2 linked regions of the Cricetulus griseus genome follow. Each later gene encodes a partner of the first gene's protein in a complex. Links are inferred from orthologs where the notes say so. Each region holds a gene or a part of one and is shown on either strand. Other genes may lie near its edges.

Evidence for each region. The genes of interacting proteins can lie anywhere in the genome.
Region 2: the proteins of Ncoa5 (region 1) and Esr2 are in contact, whole or in part, in a crystal structure (PDB 4ZI1), measured with the Homo sapiens proteins. The link is inferred for Cricetulus griseus from reciprocal best matches to the Homo sapiens genes NCOA5 and ESR2. Residues at the interface, in NP_066018.1 of Homo sapiens: Ser344, Leu345, Ile346, Leu348, Leu349, Ala350, Asp351; in NP_001428.1 of Homo sapiens: Ile310, Lys314, Phe319, Leu324, Gln327, Val328, Leu331, Glu332, Leu490, Glu493, Met494.

What each region holds. Positions count from the first base shown.
Region 1 is NC_048599.1:14,417,831-14,425,734, reverse strand, and holds the end of Ncoa5 (nuclear receptor coactivator 5), read right to left. Parts: intron 6,019-7,904; coding exon 5,819-6,018; intron 4,681-5,818; coding exon 4,357-4,680; coding exon of another isoform or gene 4,334-4,356; intron 3,883-4,333; coding exon 3,293-3,882; 3' UTR 2,109-3,292; downstream 1-2,108. UniProt on the Homo sapiens protein: Nuclear receptor coregulator that can have both coactivator and corepressor functions.
Region 2 is NC_048598.1:127,398,317-127,406,335, reverse strand, and holds part of Esr2 (estrogen receptor beta), read right to left. Parts: intron 3,378-8,019; coding exon 3,323-3,377; intron 2,859-3,322; coding exon 2,403-2,858; 3' UTR 1-2,402.

The DNA of each region.
Region 1 (7,904 bases):
GAGACAGGCGAGAGTCGTGGGGCCAATGCCAGTCTAGAGGCCCGGGCAGCCTCTGATGTTCCCTCCCTTGGTCCCCCATCTGCAGGTCCTGCCTGGGGACCCAGCTGCCTACTGAGTGCTCTGAAGATGGGCCTTGCTGCCTAGTAGCAGGTCCTTAGAGCTACGTCTCCCAGACACCAGGTCCTGGAGCAGGGCTGGAGTCACGTGGGCTCTGTTGTTCCTGGCGCTTTTCTGCCCTCTTCTGACTTGGACCCAAGGCCTTTGGCTTCCCTAACTCGTCCTTGGCGCTTCCGCTCCACCAGCCCCACCTGTGGGGAGGTGCCCTCAGTCCTTAGAAAGGCGTTTGGCCGGTTCCCTTCCCCTAGGGCACGTTACTAAGGGGACAGGCACTGCATGCTCCTTTAAGCGCCCTCTGGGACTGGGTACAGTGCCACCAGCCCCAGGGCCCTGGCCTGCGCACCTAGTTAGACATCCTGCCCACTCCAAGGCCGGGGCCACTAGCTGACCTCACCACCTCCTTTCCCATGAGCCCAAGCAGAAAGCTGCAGCTGATGCCATCTAGACAGGGTCAGGTGTGGCCTGTGGCAGGGCTGGAAGTTCGCTGCTCGGCTGCTGGGCCCATGGCCCCTCTGCGGTTTGATGGGGACTGGATATTCTTCCAGGCAGTATCCAAAAAGTTGGAAGTGTAGGACCCAGGACCTGTCATCCTTCAAGACTGCCCTCCCTTGCCGTGGTCTTGCCTTTTGGGGCAAGAGAGGGGCTGCGCAGAAGAGGCTTTATCAACATCAGTTAGGGAACCAAAGTTGCACTACCTGGGCCCAGACTCTGGTTGGCAAGAGCAAAGTTTCCGTTGATGAAAACAAACATCCCACAACAAAACCCCAAGTTTTCTGTGCTCCATGTGCAATATTTGTTATGAACCTTGTGTCGTTCAAGTCACCTTTATAATCTTGTAGCTAGATGTTCCATGTCCATCCAGGTGACTTTTACTCTGAGTGCAATATTTCAATAGCCTGGTAGTAAGAAGGAGTGTTGCTTTTGTTTCAGCCGACCTATGTGCAGGGCAATGCAATGCAAGTCCAAAACCCTTGTAAATAGGAGAGGTTGCAAGCCAAATCAAGAGTATTTATCGTTATTACTATTATTATTAGGCCTGCCTTTAATTTTAGTGTTTTGGTATTTCGCATCCTGCCTCGGTATTGATCTTGTGTTCTTTGTGCCAATATGCAAAGGAGAGGGTCGGTCTTTCCTTTATTGTTGAATGCTCCCATTTAATGCTTTAAGGCTTTTACTGTGTTAATTTTTTAGATACCTGTCTGCACACAATGCAATAAAAATAATTTTATTACACCCTTGATAGCCTAAGGGGTACAGTTTGGACACTTCAGGAGGAAGTCAAATCCACTGTTGACAGAAGTTTTGTTTTTTTTGAGACAGGAGCTCACAGAGCCCAGGCTGGCTTGGAACTTGGCTATGTAGCCAAGGATGACCTTGAACTTCCAATCCTCTTGCTGCCACCTTCGAAGTCCTGGGGATTTTATGTGTGGACCACCATATCCAGTTAGAGCAGGACTCTTGGGTGGGAAAACAGCCCTCTCTGCTCATAGAAGAAGTGAGTACACCAGCTTTGGGGCCCCGCGCCTGAGCCCGGAGGTGCTTCCTAGGTGTCAGGTCACATGGCATCCTCTGGGAGGCAGCAAGTCCTTAGGGGAAGCTTGGGACATTGATGCCAAGTGTATTATAGGCTCTTCAGGGCTTTCAGGTTCTACCTACAGATTATGTCAAACTCCTGCACGACGGGCAGCAACAGAGACGAAGGCTAAAGAGGAATGCCTCTGCCTCTAACCATCATCCATAAAGACTTCTCACAATGGCTTCCTCCCCTATGTTTTGGCCACAACCCCTGGTAAGCTGTCTCTACTAGAAGCAGGTGCAGAGTAGGACAGGACTTGATGTGAGGCTATTGCTCTGTGCCATTACTAACACTTCTCAGCAGGTGGGCAGCACACTGAGGTTCAAGCTGGGTCAGGGATCCTAAGGCCTGATCTTGGGGCAAGTGCTCTGCAAAGAGATGCTGCAGATACACCCAAGAAAGATGAGCACAGGTCTGACTTTCTTATTTTAATTAAAAAGTAATTATTTCATTTTATCAACAACACAAGAGTTCCAAAGAGGGGGGGAAAAACCCCACCATATAACAAACAGATCAGAACATAAACTGCTGCCGTTTGGGGACCTTGGGTTTTGAATCTGGTTTGCTTAGCCCCTGGCAGGGACTCAGCTGGAGCTACCACTCTTGCTTGCTCTTCTAGGTCCCTCTTTCTCACAGATTTGATCCACAGGGTTCTAAATGAGCAGTCTTTCCCAAAGGAAAAGGAGTTATCCTTTGGATCCATTCAGGGTGGCATCCAGAGCCTTCCAAGTGTCACTTTGTCTCAAAAGTTATGAATGCTGTCCGTCTCAGAACATATCCAACTACTACAGTCTAACATCAAATGGTCCCTACCTCCTGCTCATCAGACAAGGGAACAAGAGTATGGATGAGAACGAAAGCCTGGGCTCCCACTGAAAACATGGGTGTCCAGTGCTGGAGACTGGAGCTGCCCTGTCAGTGCTGCTGGACACAAAGGTGCTGACTAATGCTGTGGAGAGCAGTGGGTCCCAGTCCCAGTTCATGTCAAACTGCCGAGTGAGCCGCACAGTCATCTGGAGACCCTCCAAGGAAATGGAAAACTACAAAACCAAACCAACCCCCCAGAGACCGTGTGACACAGGCACAAGAGTCCACTTTTCCCCAGTTCAGAGTAGCCAATGGGAGTCCTTGAGTGGAGTTCCATTCTCTTGATGGGACAGTGATGACACTGCCTGCCAAGGCCAACCTGCTTCTATGCGAGCCAGGCAGCTCAATTCTGGATGACGTGTGGAGGTGGAAACAAAGGCTGTCACCACTGACTCCATAAGTGGTGTTCAAACTGAGGCAGCTGGGGTTTGGCTTCTTTCTTTATTCCTCCAAATCCAGGCTGGGGCCAGAGCTACCCCATCAGAAAGAAGCTGAGCCTAGACCCCAGAAATACTTATTTTCTATCCAAACAAAAGATACAGTCCCGAAAGCAGTCTAAGTTCTGATTCTGTTAAGTGGTAAGCAACAGCCGCAGGAAGGAGCGGTGCAAGAAACTTAGGATATCTGATGCTGACCCAGAGAGTGCGAAGAACACTTCCAAACATCTCTACTTAGGATGAAGTGGGAGGGACCAGGGGAAAAGGGGACTAGGGAGAGTGGACTGGTGGAGCCTCAGTAATGCCTCTGGTATGATCCTATGGGGGCCTGGGGCCGCCCCACCTGTGCAGCAGTTTGGCTAACCAGGTGGGAAAGAGCAGGGCCACTCTGGATCAGGGTGTCCAGAGCCTTTTGTACACTTGGATTGTCAAAGTTAATACCTGTGGAAGATACAGGCCTCTGGCTAGCCATGTTGCTGGCAGGTGCCAGGCGACTGGAAGGCTGACCAAAGAGCCCTTGGGAAGGAGCCCCAGGCCTGGGGCCCATGTTCCGAGCAGACCCTGCCTGTCCCACAATGCTTGGAGGCTGATTTCCTGAGGCCTGTGGTCTTTGCTGAGGCTGGCTGTTTGCTGCTGTGGAAAAATTCTGGTTCTGGGAGCTCCCGGCAGCAACCGAGGGGGATGCAGAGCTGCTGTTGGCCGAGACCGTGCCACTGTTGAAGAGGCTGAGGATTTTGGCCTGAAGCTCTTGCTGGGAGGTTGGGGGTGCGGCTGGAGTGGGTGTAGCAGAGGGAAGCACTTGGCCACTCTGAAGCGGTTGGGAACTTGATTGTGTCTTCAGCGAGGTACCCGAGGCCGCCCCGAGTGGCTGGCGGGAAATCGGGCCTGGAAGACAAAAGAGGGAGGCATCTGGTTGAGAGTGCCCCCTAAGGGCAGGAGGCCTAGCAGCCAAAGGAAGAACAACAATCATACATCACAGCAATCGACAGTACAAACAATAACATCAAATTCTAAAAGGACCATCTCAGGATATGGTCCTGAGCTGAAAGCAGCCTAGAGCCCAAAAAATTGCTTGAAAAAAGGAATGAATAAACAAACAAACAAACAAACAAACAAGGGCATCCATCATAGCTCCCAGGGAGCCAACAATTGTAGTTTACCCCCCATTAAGCCAACTCCAGGGAGATCATTGCTAACAGCATCACCAGCGTGCACGGCCTGTGTGAGAGGCCAGTGGATGGCTCATTTCCCTTCCCCACCGCAGAGAACCCTGGGCATGCCCCCCTCCCCCGGGAGCACGGGATGAGAGAAATGCAGCGTGAGAAGAGAACTTCACCTCGGCCCTGCCACGTAGCTCACCAGGCAGAGCGTCGGCGGCGCTGCTCCTCAGGAGCCGCTCCTTCCGCCCACGCAGGTAGTCGATGACCCTGTCGGTCTCCTCTGCAGTGAGGTATCTGTTGTCTGCCAGCAGGTTGATGAGGCTCTGAATGGCTGGAGGGTGCCCCCCACGACCTCCCTCCTCAGGGCCTCCACGATCTCGTTCCTGTAGAATGGCTTCATTAGCCATCTTGGCTGCCTGTCGGGCAATCTCCTCACGTTCCTTTTCCCGACAGTTATTCTTGTAGCGTTCATAATTCCTGGCCACCAGCACCATGGCATCTGCCTGGGGCATGTTGCGATGCTCTGTAGGAGGCAATAACACAAGCTATTTTCTCCCATGATAGATCCGAGTGCCTTTCTTATTCTCAAAGCAGAGAAGCACTGCAGGGGCAAGAAGCCTTGAGCCTAGAGTAAGGCAGGCTGAGGGACAGAGCAGTGCTCTTCAGGGTGGACCATACCTTCCTACAGAGCTATTTCTTCAGTGAGATCCCTAGATCACAGACCTGTGATAAAAACCAAAGGAATACAAGAGCCTCCCACAGAGTCAAACAGACCATGTGGGGAGCAGCCTGCAGCCTCTAGACAGCAGCAGGAGGCCAAAGAAGCTCTGTAAAGCCTGGCTCCCCGCTGTGCTCCTCAGGGCAGAGCCACCACTTTTAAATCCATCAGTTCAAAAGTCATGGACCAAGATCAAATTGCAGAGTGGTGAGGACACTTCTTGGAATCTTACATAAACATTCTAATACAAACTAAGGGCAGCTCCTCAGGGACAAATGACTTGGGGATTCTAACATACCCTGTGACTATGGGTGTGACAGCCCAGGCCATCCGAGACACTGGGCAGGTGCAAAAGGGGAAGTTAGGCTTTAAGAGTCACAATCAGGGCATGGGTGGCTGAGTGTCAATGCTTGGAGGACGCTCAAAGCACCAAAGTCACTTTGAAGGATGACTCGAAGGATCCTGTCCTTCCTTTGGAGGGCCAGAGCCGCCTCCTGTCCTCATAACTCCTCTACTTGGTTCTCCGTTACACCGACAAACAGTACCCTGTCTGTGACAGTCTCTGTCTCCAGGAGCTGCATTTCAGGGAGCAGACGCCTAAGCCAGACTTCCCTGGGAGCCAGGTGTGCACAAGTCGTGACACTGGTGGCCTGAGATGGGGTACTATGGCAGTGCTGACGTCACGGAATCAGTGAATGCGACACATCACTGACCTCTACAGCAGAACTGGCTGTTGAACAGCTTGCAACAGGCCCAGTATTAGTATCAGAGAACACCAAGGAAAATATGATGATGAAAGTCTCCTAGATAGCACAAAAAGGAGCTGCTACATTGGAGATGAAACATATCAGCCACTCCCCCAAACCCACTTCTCACAAGCAGGTCACAGAATCAGTGTGCTGGCGACTATCTCTGGGAATTTGGACTACTTGGGTCTCTGTACCTTGTGGAGTTCCAAACATGATGTTGACTGTACAGGAGCGGTGAATCTGGTGCTGCTGGGTGATGACAATGGCAAAGGGAGACCCTCCCCTGCTGACATCCTCCAGCGCTTGTGACAATGACACCTCTGTGTTAAGGAAGATCAGGTCCACAACCATGCCGAGGTCTCGCACCTTCCGCCCCACAGACTCAGCATAGTCCCTGTAAGAACAAACAGGATCCGGGTGAGCACTATCTAGCCACATCTTAATCAGCACACTGCTGGATCCCAGCCTGCTGTGTCTCCTTTTCAGAACTCAGGCTCTAGCCCACCCAGTATTAGGGTTCTAGTTTTAACTTGCCTATAGGCCCGCAAGGAAACTGCCAGTAGGATAGTTTTAAATATCAAGGTGGAGCTTACTTCACGAGGAAAGATTTGGTCAACTGAGGAACTTTAGCTTCCCAGCTAATTACTCTGGACCCTAACATAGTAACGTACGAAGGACACTAGAAAAAGCATCGCAAGCTTCACTTCAAGGCCCGAGTCCTCACAGTCTCACTCACTCAAAGGAAAAAACGGCATCTTCCCCGTCATTCTCATGCCATTCAGATGTTCAAAATGGGAAGAGCCCATCCCAGTCATGGAACAAACATCACCAGAGGGATGCCGGAGGCACGGGGCGCGCTTCTTCCATGTGTGCTGTGTTGTCATTTCAAAGAGCAGCACTTGTCACAGCAGTGCAGGTGTTGTCAACAGTCGAGTCACACTCCCCAACACTGGGCACTCTGCAGGGCCTTCTAGAGTGCATGGCAACTGAAGCCACAGGACAGGAGCAAAGCTCCAGAGAGCAAAAATGCCCAGGCCCCCCAGACTCGCCACTCCCATCAGCCTCTGCCTTAAGATCTCAATAATGGAGTGCTCTGGTGGATCTCCAGTGGGTCTTTTGCTGTCTCTTAGCCCCTCAAGGTTGAATTGTTTCTCAGGGGTCAATCCTTCAGGATTTTTTTCCATTATTTGCTGTCTACCTATTAAGGGCCATGACAACAATATCATGAGGATGTCACCAAGAGATCAGATACAGCACCTTTCTGACCTTCCCCTAAGGTATCTTTCATAATTTTGCTAAGTTTTTAAACTTGATCTCTTCCTGTTTATCTTCTGGAAGTTCCAAGCCATCTTTAGTAGCTGACACATCTTCCCTCAATACTCTTCAGCTATTGGACACAGTAACCACCAACGAGCTCAGTCATACAGATCACTTCTGAGACTCCCCTGGGAGAAAACAGATGTGTTTCTGGTCTTCAGAAGAAACCACCTTACCCCTAGAAGCAGCCATGTTGTATCGGATAAACTATGAGAGTATCTGACTGGGAGGATGTCATAAAACTTTTTGTAGTTTTTCTTTATCCTTTACCAGTTTATTTATTAAATTTAAAACATTATGTCTGCATGTATGTCTGTGTTCCATGTACCTGGTGCCCCAGGAGACCAGAAGAGGGCACTGGATCCTCTGGGACTCTAATTAAAAGAGGGTTGTTGGCTGTCATGTGGGTGCTGGGAATTGAACCCTGGTCCTCTGGAAGAGCAGCCAGAGTGTGTACTGAACCACTGAGTCACCTCTCCAGCCTTTTCTTTTTTTTTTCTTTCTTTTTTTTTTGTTTTTTGAGACAGGGTTTCTCTGTGGCTTTGGAGGTTGTCCTGGAACTAGCTCTTGTAGACCAGGCTGGTCTCGAACTCACAGAGATCCGCCTGCCTCTGCCTCCCGAGTGCTGGGATTAGAGGTGTGCACCACCACCGCCCGGCTTTTCTCCAGCTCTTTTTCTGTCACTTTAATGAACAAACAGCTCTAAGCATTTTTTAAACCAAATTCTTTCTGATTGCTTTCTAAATTTTGCTTTGATGCAATATTTCTCAGGAAATACTTAAGAGTATTGGAATCCACAATGGCTGTAGTAAAATTCAGATCCTCAGGGGCTAACTTGTGGTTATGCAGCCCAGTGTTCTTCCAGTTGCTGGCAGAGTACCTAGGGAGCTCTTCGCTGACATCACAAGGACTTCTGCTCCCAAACAGCCAGGCTGTGTTCTGTCAAGCTCTTCTTGACTAGCG
Region 2 (8,019 bases), on another chromosome or scaffold:
CAGGTTTCTTAAAGCTACATTACATCTGATCATTTCAGACAGCTAGGCTCCTCACATTTGCTGTTTTGGCTCTTGAGACAACACTGCATGGTCAGCTGAAGCCTTCTCATTTACAGAGAGGGAACTGCCACTCAGAAAAGGAAAATGACATCCACTCAGGGCAGGAACAGGAGCCAAAGTCTGTCTGTCTCACTGCACAATGTATTTTAAAGACATGTCCAACTCCTTTGGGATGCTGGGTTTCCAAGGCACCATATAGAATTTTTCTGAAACCTAGAGCTCATTGTCAGGTACTGTCTCCTGGAAGACAGTGGTTCTCAAGCTTCAGCATGTGTCATAACCTACCTCAGTGCCCCAAGCACGTCTAGAGCTGCTCCATCCACAGGTCCAGGTGAGGCCAAGACCTTCATTCCTAACGTGTGCAGATGTGACGGCAAGGTGTGGTGCTCTTGATGGGAACTCTGTTTGAGAAACACATGAGTAGTGGAGTGAAATAAATCACAAATGATGAATAAGTCTTGCGCCTCAGTCCCTATGCTGAGAAACCATGCACAAGCCCTGCTTCTTGCCTCCCTAGCAGGGTATCTGTGAGGACTGAGATTCAAAGGAGAGCTTGCCAAGACAATCAAGCATCCATCCAACACACATCTGTCTCCATGGCATCTCACAGCCCCAACAAATTCATGGATTGGCTAGATGGCTGACCAGTGAGATCTTGCAATGCACTTGCCTCCTGTACATCCCCGCCCCCATTCCCAAGCTAGGGCTACAAGTATGCATACCACCACGCTCAGCTTTTCTATAGATACTGGGGATCTGAACACTGGTCCTTATGCTTGTGTTACACACACTTTACCAACTGAGCTATCTCCTCAGCCCTAGGACGGGACCATTTTAAAGACTGTGTCCAGTGGTGTGGGTGAATGAGCTGATGAAACTTTCCAGTGCCTGGAAGAGCTCCCTTGGGAAGGTTTACATGGACAGTCCCCCTTGTGTGAGGATCACAGAGATCATTTTCACTCTGTTGATCTGTAGTTTCTCAGGAAAATGTTGTTACCATTCTCTCGAATGCCTCCTCGATGTCATCATCATGAACAGCTTAGTACCCTTACACTAGAGTATGAAGGAGAGACTTCAGTAGCTTGTAAACAAAAAAGACTAGTCCCTCCCTGTGGACATTGGGTGGCTCTTTTGTTTTCAGAAATAGCAAGTCCCTGGAAAGACACTGGAAGAAATTAAACATTCTTCTCACATTTCCCCTACCATCGTGAAAAGCCTATCAAGTTTATACAAATAGCAAGTAAAATGTTGTCACTTAAGCTCAACAGTTATTACCCTGGCAACCATGGGCTACGATTGTTTTTCATCCTTTGGAGAATGGGCCAGCACTTTTCATGGCTCTCCTATCTGTATTTTCTCAAGGTCACTGTGAAAGGCCAAACAATGCTGCCAGTTAGGAAGCTGTCTTACTTTAGTCACCACAGGTGCCTGGAAGGAGCTGGAGGTTGGCCTCCACATTTATCTTTTCCTTGTCATCGGCCCAACCATTCTACCTTGGAGCACGTGACTGCTGTTACACACCCTGCAGAAATGTCTTCCTGGGAGTCAAGGGCTTCCCCAAGGAGAGAGCAGCCATCAGCAAATGGGAAGCAACTGGCCTGATGTGCGAGGTCAGGGAGTGAGCCTCCATGTCCTGTCCTGTAGTAGGAGGTCACAGGCCCAGCCCAGCATGTGGGAATGAACAAAACAGCAGCATTTATGAATAATGTTGCCAAGCCTGCATGCTGTTGCACTGGTAGAGGAGGCTTTGCTCTCCAAGGTGGGGATAGATTAATGGCTTAAGAGGTGGGTTGTAGGAACACACAGGAGATCAACTCTCAAAACAGGGAAAGAAGCAAGCCTGACCCATTTCCATAGGAGAAAGAAGGATTTCCATGTTCCTGCATTTTGGAAAACCCAGGGAGAAGCTCAAATCTCTTCCTCTATCTTGAGGTCCATTTGTACTGCAAGGCGGAGTCCCTCTGCAGCAGTCAGTGGAACAGAGAAAATGAACTCTGGCCTTCTCAGGCAGGACAGCAGATCTAAGGCAAGAGGAAAACTCCTCAGGGAAAACTCTTCTTCTGGACCTGAGGAAGGCACCCCTAAATGGCTCTGGCTTCAGTTTGCACTGCTGGTGGTGAACATGACACAGAAAAATTATAGACCAGAAATCTTTTTTCCCCCCATGTTCCCAATCGAAATGTTTCCTCCCTGGCTTTATAGCACTTCATACATATCACGGTGCCAAGATAACGCTGGGACTTTCTCCTCTCAGCCTCGCAATCCTGTAGCGTCAGAACAAAGGCTGTGTGTGAGGAGAGCTGGAGAGAGACATTTTCTTTTTTGCAAGCGGGAAAAACAGATTAAATATTGCAGAGCGTAGAAAAGGTGTCTTGCTTCCAGCGGGAGCCCTGTGCTGGTAAGCCAGCCGGAGCTGGTGCCTCAGATGAGGAGCCTTGGGGAGGGCCTGGTTGGAAGATAGTGAGCCAGTGAATGAAGAGGGCAGGCTGGGCAGGGGGAGGGGCCGCCTGGCCAGGAGGTAGAGGTGCAGCCGGGAACTTGGAGCTTCCGCTGAAACCTAAGGAATGGTTTTTTCTCATAAACAGTAAGTACCATTTCAGCTGACAGCTGCACCCGCGACCCAGGCAGCCGCTGCTATCTCTGTGTCTTTCTGTTTTGGTTACAATGGAGATCACTGGTGAGATGGTGGCTGCAGAGTGTGTGCGCTCAGCCATTCGGGGGATGGGTTCTCTCCCGGCGTCAGCATGCTTGTGTTGGCTGCAGTCTGCCTCTGACAAGCCGGCAGAGATGCGATTGTGCTGTATAGAAAATAGACATATCCCCGCATCAAAAATTCTTCAAAGCAGCTCTAAAATATATTGTACTGTCTGTGCCTTCAAATCAGGGCATGGAAATTAATAATTTTACTATGAAGATATCTAGCTCAAAATGTAAAAAGATAAAATTGTGCCGGCTTGGAACAGTGTGTTTAGCAGCTGACAGCTGACCATAGCTTTCAGTCTGGATTTAGATACTTTTGGTCATTCCCGTTCTCCTTACTAAATTCTGTGACACGACACATTGACACAGGCACTACCTAACTTCCACTGACCTGAGCTTTTATAATCTAACTGTATGTGGCTTACCATGAGAACAAGGCTGAAAGGTATATTACTCCATATGCATGAATATGAATTATTCCGGATAAATATGCATTCCATATTTAAAGCCTCAGGCACACATAGCAAGACTTCTGCCTGCTATATATAGATTACCAACTCACCTTAATTTTGACCGTTCTGGAAGGAGAACCGTGTTCTTCGGTGTTTCTGAGCCATCTGTAGTTAAGATGAAAGAAAAACTTTATTCACCTTGATCATGCCCCGAATCTCTACCCATAATTCCTGGAGTAGACCTCTTCTATTCCACAGCTACTTATAGTCATAATTCTAACTTTGTTTGGCTTCATAGAAAAAAAATGTCTTTTTGGCATGGATGACTTCTCCTTTAAACCTAACTATTGTTTTGATCATCGATTCCAGAATTGAGCTCTGGAAACCCTGTTTCTTTTCTCCTGGGTGTATGTCTTATGTTCCGAGGTAACGCATGAGAAATATTACCTAGCTAGACGTGGGCAAGTGCAGAGGTGGAAGCCACATGGACTGCCTAGGTGGTTGATGTCATGCAGCAGCATGTCCAGAGGCTGCTCTCTGAGATTTCCTTGTTTCCTGGTGTTAAATGGAGAGAGCCACTTTGACAAATGTCAGCCCTCAGGATTAGCAAGGGGCACATGCTTCCTGACCCAGGAAAGGTGACAGTTGAGTTACAGCATCCACAGGGAGCAGAGCTATAGAAACTTCAACAATGTATCTGTTGGTTCTTGCAATTAATCGTCAAGTGGTGGCCTGAGAAACATTCTGATTCCAGTGTACTGGGGGTGTCAGGACTCTAGGCAGAGGTTAACACTCTGCCTAGGTGAAGTGCATTCTCTCTCTCTCTCTCTCTCTCTCTCTCTCTCTCTCTCTCTCTCTCTCTCTCTCTCTCTCTCTCTCTCTCTCTCTCTTCCCTTCCTCTACTTGGCCCTAAGTATACTTGTTGTCAATCAGTTACATGCCACTCACAGCTGGGCAGCAAGTTGCTTTGAGGGCAAAGTATTCTGGTATCACCTCTGGTCTTTAAAATAGGGCAGTGCCATCATTTTGATGGAAAAGACAAACTGGCAACTGTCACTTCCTCACCCAGTAGGGATTTCTCAGAGCTTCTAATACTGTTCCACGACATGTGAGTTGCATCAGCTCTGTGGGACTTATAACCCATCTTCCAGTTATCATTGAATCCTCACAGTGTGCACAGGGCCCCAAACAAAAGCAAATGGTTAAATGTTTGTTGAAAGAAAGCCATGGAAGGGAAACATGGGCAGTCTATCTGTGACTTCCAGCCTCTTCCCATACATTGGCTACAAGCCACAAGACACAGCAGCATGTGACTCCTCTGCCACCACATCCTGGATCTGAATCATGTTCCTTGGCGGCAGCGAAACCCATCTTCTGCCCTCAATCTGTGCACATCTGTATGTGCAAGGTATGTGACAAGCCATAGGGGCCAAACTGCCAGAGGTTATAGGATCATGCCCCTGCTCTTTAATGGCCCATGTGACTGGGGCTGGTTATTTAACCCATGTGTCGTCTTTTCCTCCACTGTCCGATAGGGATGACAATGTTGATGGCACTTGTCAGCATCATTGGGAGGAATAAACGAGTTGCTAGCTTGTGAGACAAAGCAGGCCTGACATGTTAGCATGTGAGATAAATGTTAGCAGGGTACATAGATGTTCCATTTTAGTACATGGCTTATTTATAAGTTACAAAGTATATCCAATATAGATATTTTAAAAGAATGGGTTACACATCTAAGTGTCCCTTTGCCTCAGATGCTCAAGAACATACTTTGGATTTTTTTTTTCTATTTTGGAATATTTGCATATTTATAATGAGATCTCTTGGGAATTCATTGGTATTTCTCATGCACATAGCTCTAAAGTAATTCTATATGTCTTTAGTGCAACTGCCTTGACTGTAACCATCGTATAAGGTGTGCTGTGGGATTGTTCACTGGTATGGCAGGATATAGAACCCAGAAAGTATGGACTTTTGAGCATTATAGGTTACGGTTTTTAGATTAGAGATGTTCCGTCCATATTTCATTTCAGTTCTCTATTGTTCTGCCTTGAGCATTTCATTTTGAATGCCACAGTTCTAGGAGAGCCAAGCAAATTATTCCTCTCCTTCTCCAGGAGTTATAACATCCCTAGCCTCTGGTTGACAAAACTAAACATGGCCATGCCTAGGCCATCCTGTGTTAGCTCCCTTTGTGGTCTCCCCAGACCTCTTTTTGTTAAAATGAGGAAAAGACCCTGCTGTGATTCGCATAGGACATGGATTAGGTGTTGGATGGAAGCATAGTGAGCCACCAGCCTGGGAAGAAGGAAGAGCAAGCGGGACCCGCAGTAGGCCGGTCACTGAGCCTGAATGTTGGTCTCTACCCACAGGAAGTTCTCATGCCAGCCAAGCCTCTTCTCCAGCCAGAGGTTTTTAGGAAGGCAGCCCCTCATAGCTGTGTGGACAGCTTCTGGGCCTTACACAGTCAGGGTGGTAAGATGAAGTAAGAAGGGCACAGTGGTAAACCATGGAAATAAAGGCAGGATCTAGGTTACAGCCGTATCCAGGCCTAGCCTGGATTCAGTTACTTCCTTTTCAATAAATCATCTCACGGCTTTGAAGGAGACTTTGTCTGCTACAAGAGTGCAATTTGGAAAATGTACCCCCTTGAAACTGATCTTGCCATTTTTCCTGGGCACTTGTCCTGATCAGAGATTGTCCCAAATATCCTTCATGCGTGCACATCTCCTTCCTTCCGGCTAGCCAACCCAGTGAAGGAAGGTGTCACTGGTAGCCCCACTTTACAAGTGAGATTAATGAAAGCCAGAACTCAAACCTAAGCCCTTACAGACTGCATGGCCTGCCTCCAAACCTCCCCACCTCACAGAGCCACTGAGAATAAAACACTCGGGAGAGAATGTGGCCAAGTCCAGTGCCAGCTGGATACAGTGTTACAGCATCCAATGTCCTGGTCAGCATCAGAAGAGTTAGCTGAGGAACATTTATTATATTCTGATGGCTATCTGTCCAGTGGTCCCACATCACCTGCAAGATGCTTAATAATAAGGACACTTGGAGTCTGAGTCCGGAATCTTGCAGGGGTGTAGAGATTGTAGATGGTAGATGGTAGTTGGGCGGGACTTTAACAGACCTGGTCCACTTGACTCCAGTGCTCTGGTCTTATCCTTATCGCTGGGGTTTCAGAGACCTCAGGGGTAAAAGGATTCTCCTAAAACCATACAAGTCCTGCTCACAGGACTAGAACCCGAAGGCAATCCTCAGGGTTGTCTTGGTTGATGGTGAGATAGAAACACACTGACTCTTTAGTCCACTTAAACCATAGCCTGGAAGTAGAGAATGTAGCTCAGTCAGTAGAGTGCTTACCCAGCATGCACTAAGCCCTGGAATCCATTCCTAGCACGGTATAAACCAGTATGGTCCTATATGGTTATAATCGCAGTGCTACAAAGGTGGAGTCAGAAGGATAAGAAATTCAAGATCATCCTTGGCAACAGAGAAAACCTGAGCTACAAAAGGCCCTATCTGAAAATAAAACAGCCTATGGGGAAGTGACTGTGCATGTTTATTCATGGAACAAATATTTGTTGACAGCCCTGTCCTCAGGCAGCAGGAGGTACTGCCTTTCCTGAAGAGTGCAGAATGTCTCTTATGGTAGTGTTAGCCTTCCCTGGAGCTCCAGGAGCATGGGGGCAGGGTTTGGGTGGGATGTTGAAGAAGCAGGTCCCCCAAGAAAAGAGGATCAGCTTTTGGTGAGAGGCCAAGAGGCCATACAAATTGCTTGAGGTGTTAAACCGATTATGAGATTAAACTGGTTTGTCAAGGTAGAGAACGGACTGTTGAAAGATTCAGAGCATGAATCAGGACTTATCTTCCGAAATGGAAACAAAGGTGGGTAGGAGGGCACAGAGGCCAGAAGGAAGTTGTTCAGTTAAGTAAGAGTTGTGGTGCGGCAGACAGTGTGTTTCCTGTGAGTTGAGGTCAGCATCGCAGTTTCTCTTTCCATCGCCATCATCAGGGGGATGCAGCTTTGGCGGCATCTTCCAACCTGAGGATTGGTAAGTAGAGACTTTGAACTGTAAACCATTACTTCAAATCTCTGGGATTAACCCAAATCCCCCAGATCAACAGTGAAAGCACTCACTCATTCCACTGTAGGGCTTTCATGAAAGCAGCTGATTGAAGCATTTCATTTCGGTCTCTCTGTGAAGCATGGTGACTAGCCAAGCGAGGTGGCACACACCTGTAATCCCAGAGGCAGAGGCAGGAGGATCTGTGAGTTCCAGGCCAGTGTGAGCTGCTTAGTGAGACCCTGCCTCAGGCCAACAAAGGTGGTTTTTGCTTAAGTAGCTCTTTGCCTTGTGTGTTAACTCGAAGCTCCAATGTGCGTGAGCTACGTGTGTTCTCTCAAACCTGTTGCACGCCGAGTCAAGGCTGGAAGGAAACTGAGGCAGGTTGCCTGAGAAGCGGCAAGCAGATCTGTGCTTGGGTGGCTTCCTCCTTTCTGACCCAGAGATGCCCCATAACAAGCCCATAAGGCAGACTCAATGGAGCGCCAACCCTCACATTGATGTGGTAGGGTTCCGTGTACCCTGTCCTTGTCCAGGGAGGGCCACTGACTGCTATTTTCTCAGGCAAACCGATGACAGAAACTTGAGTGAAGTATTTAGAACAGGTGTTTGAGAGGGAGTAAAATGACATCATCTCTCTGGTCTGGAGCTTCAGGAAGTGGTCAGGGTATCAGGAGGAGTCCATGCGGGTTTGGCAGGACTCTTGGCTAGACTGAAAAGTCTGTGAAAAGTCA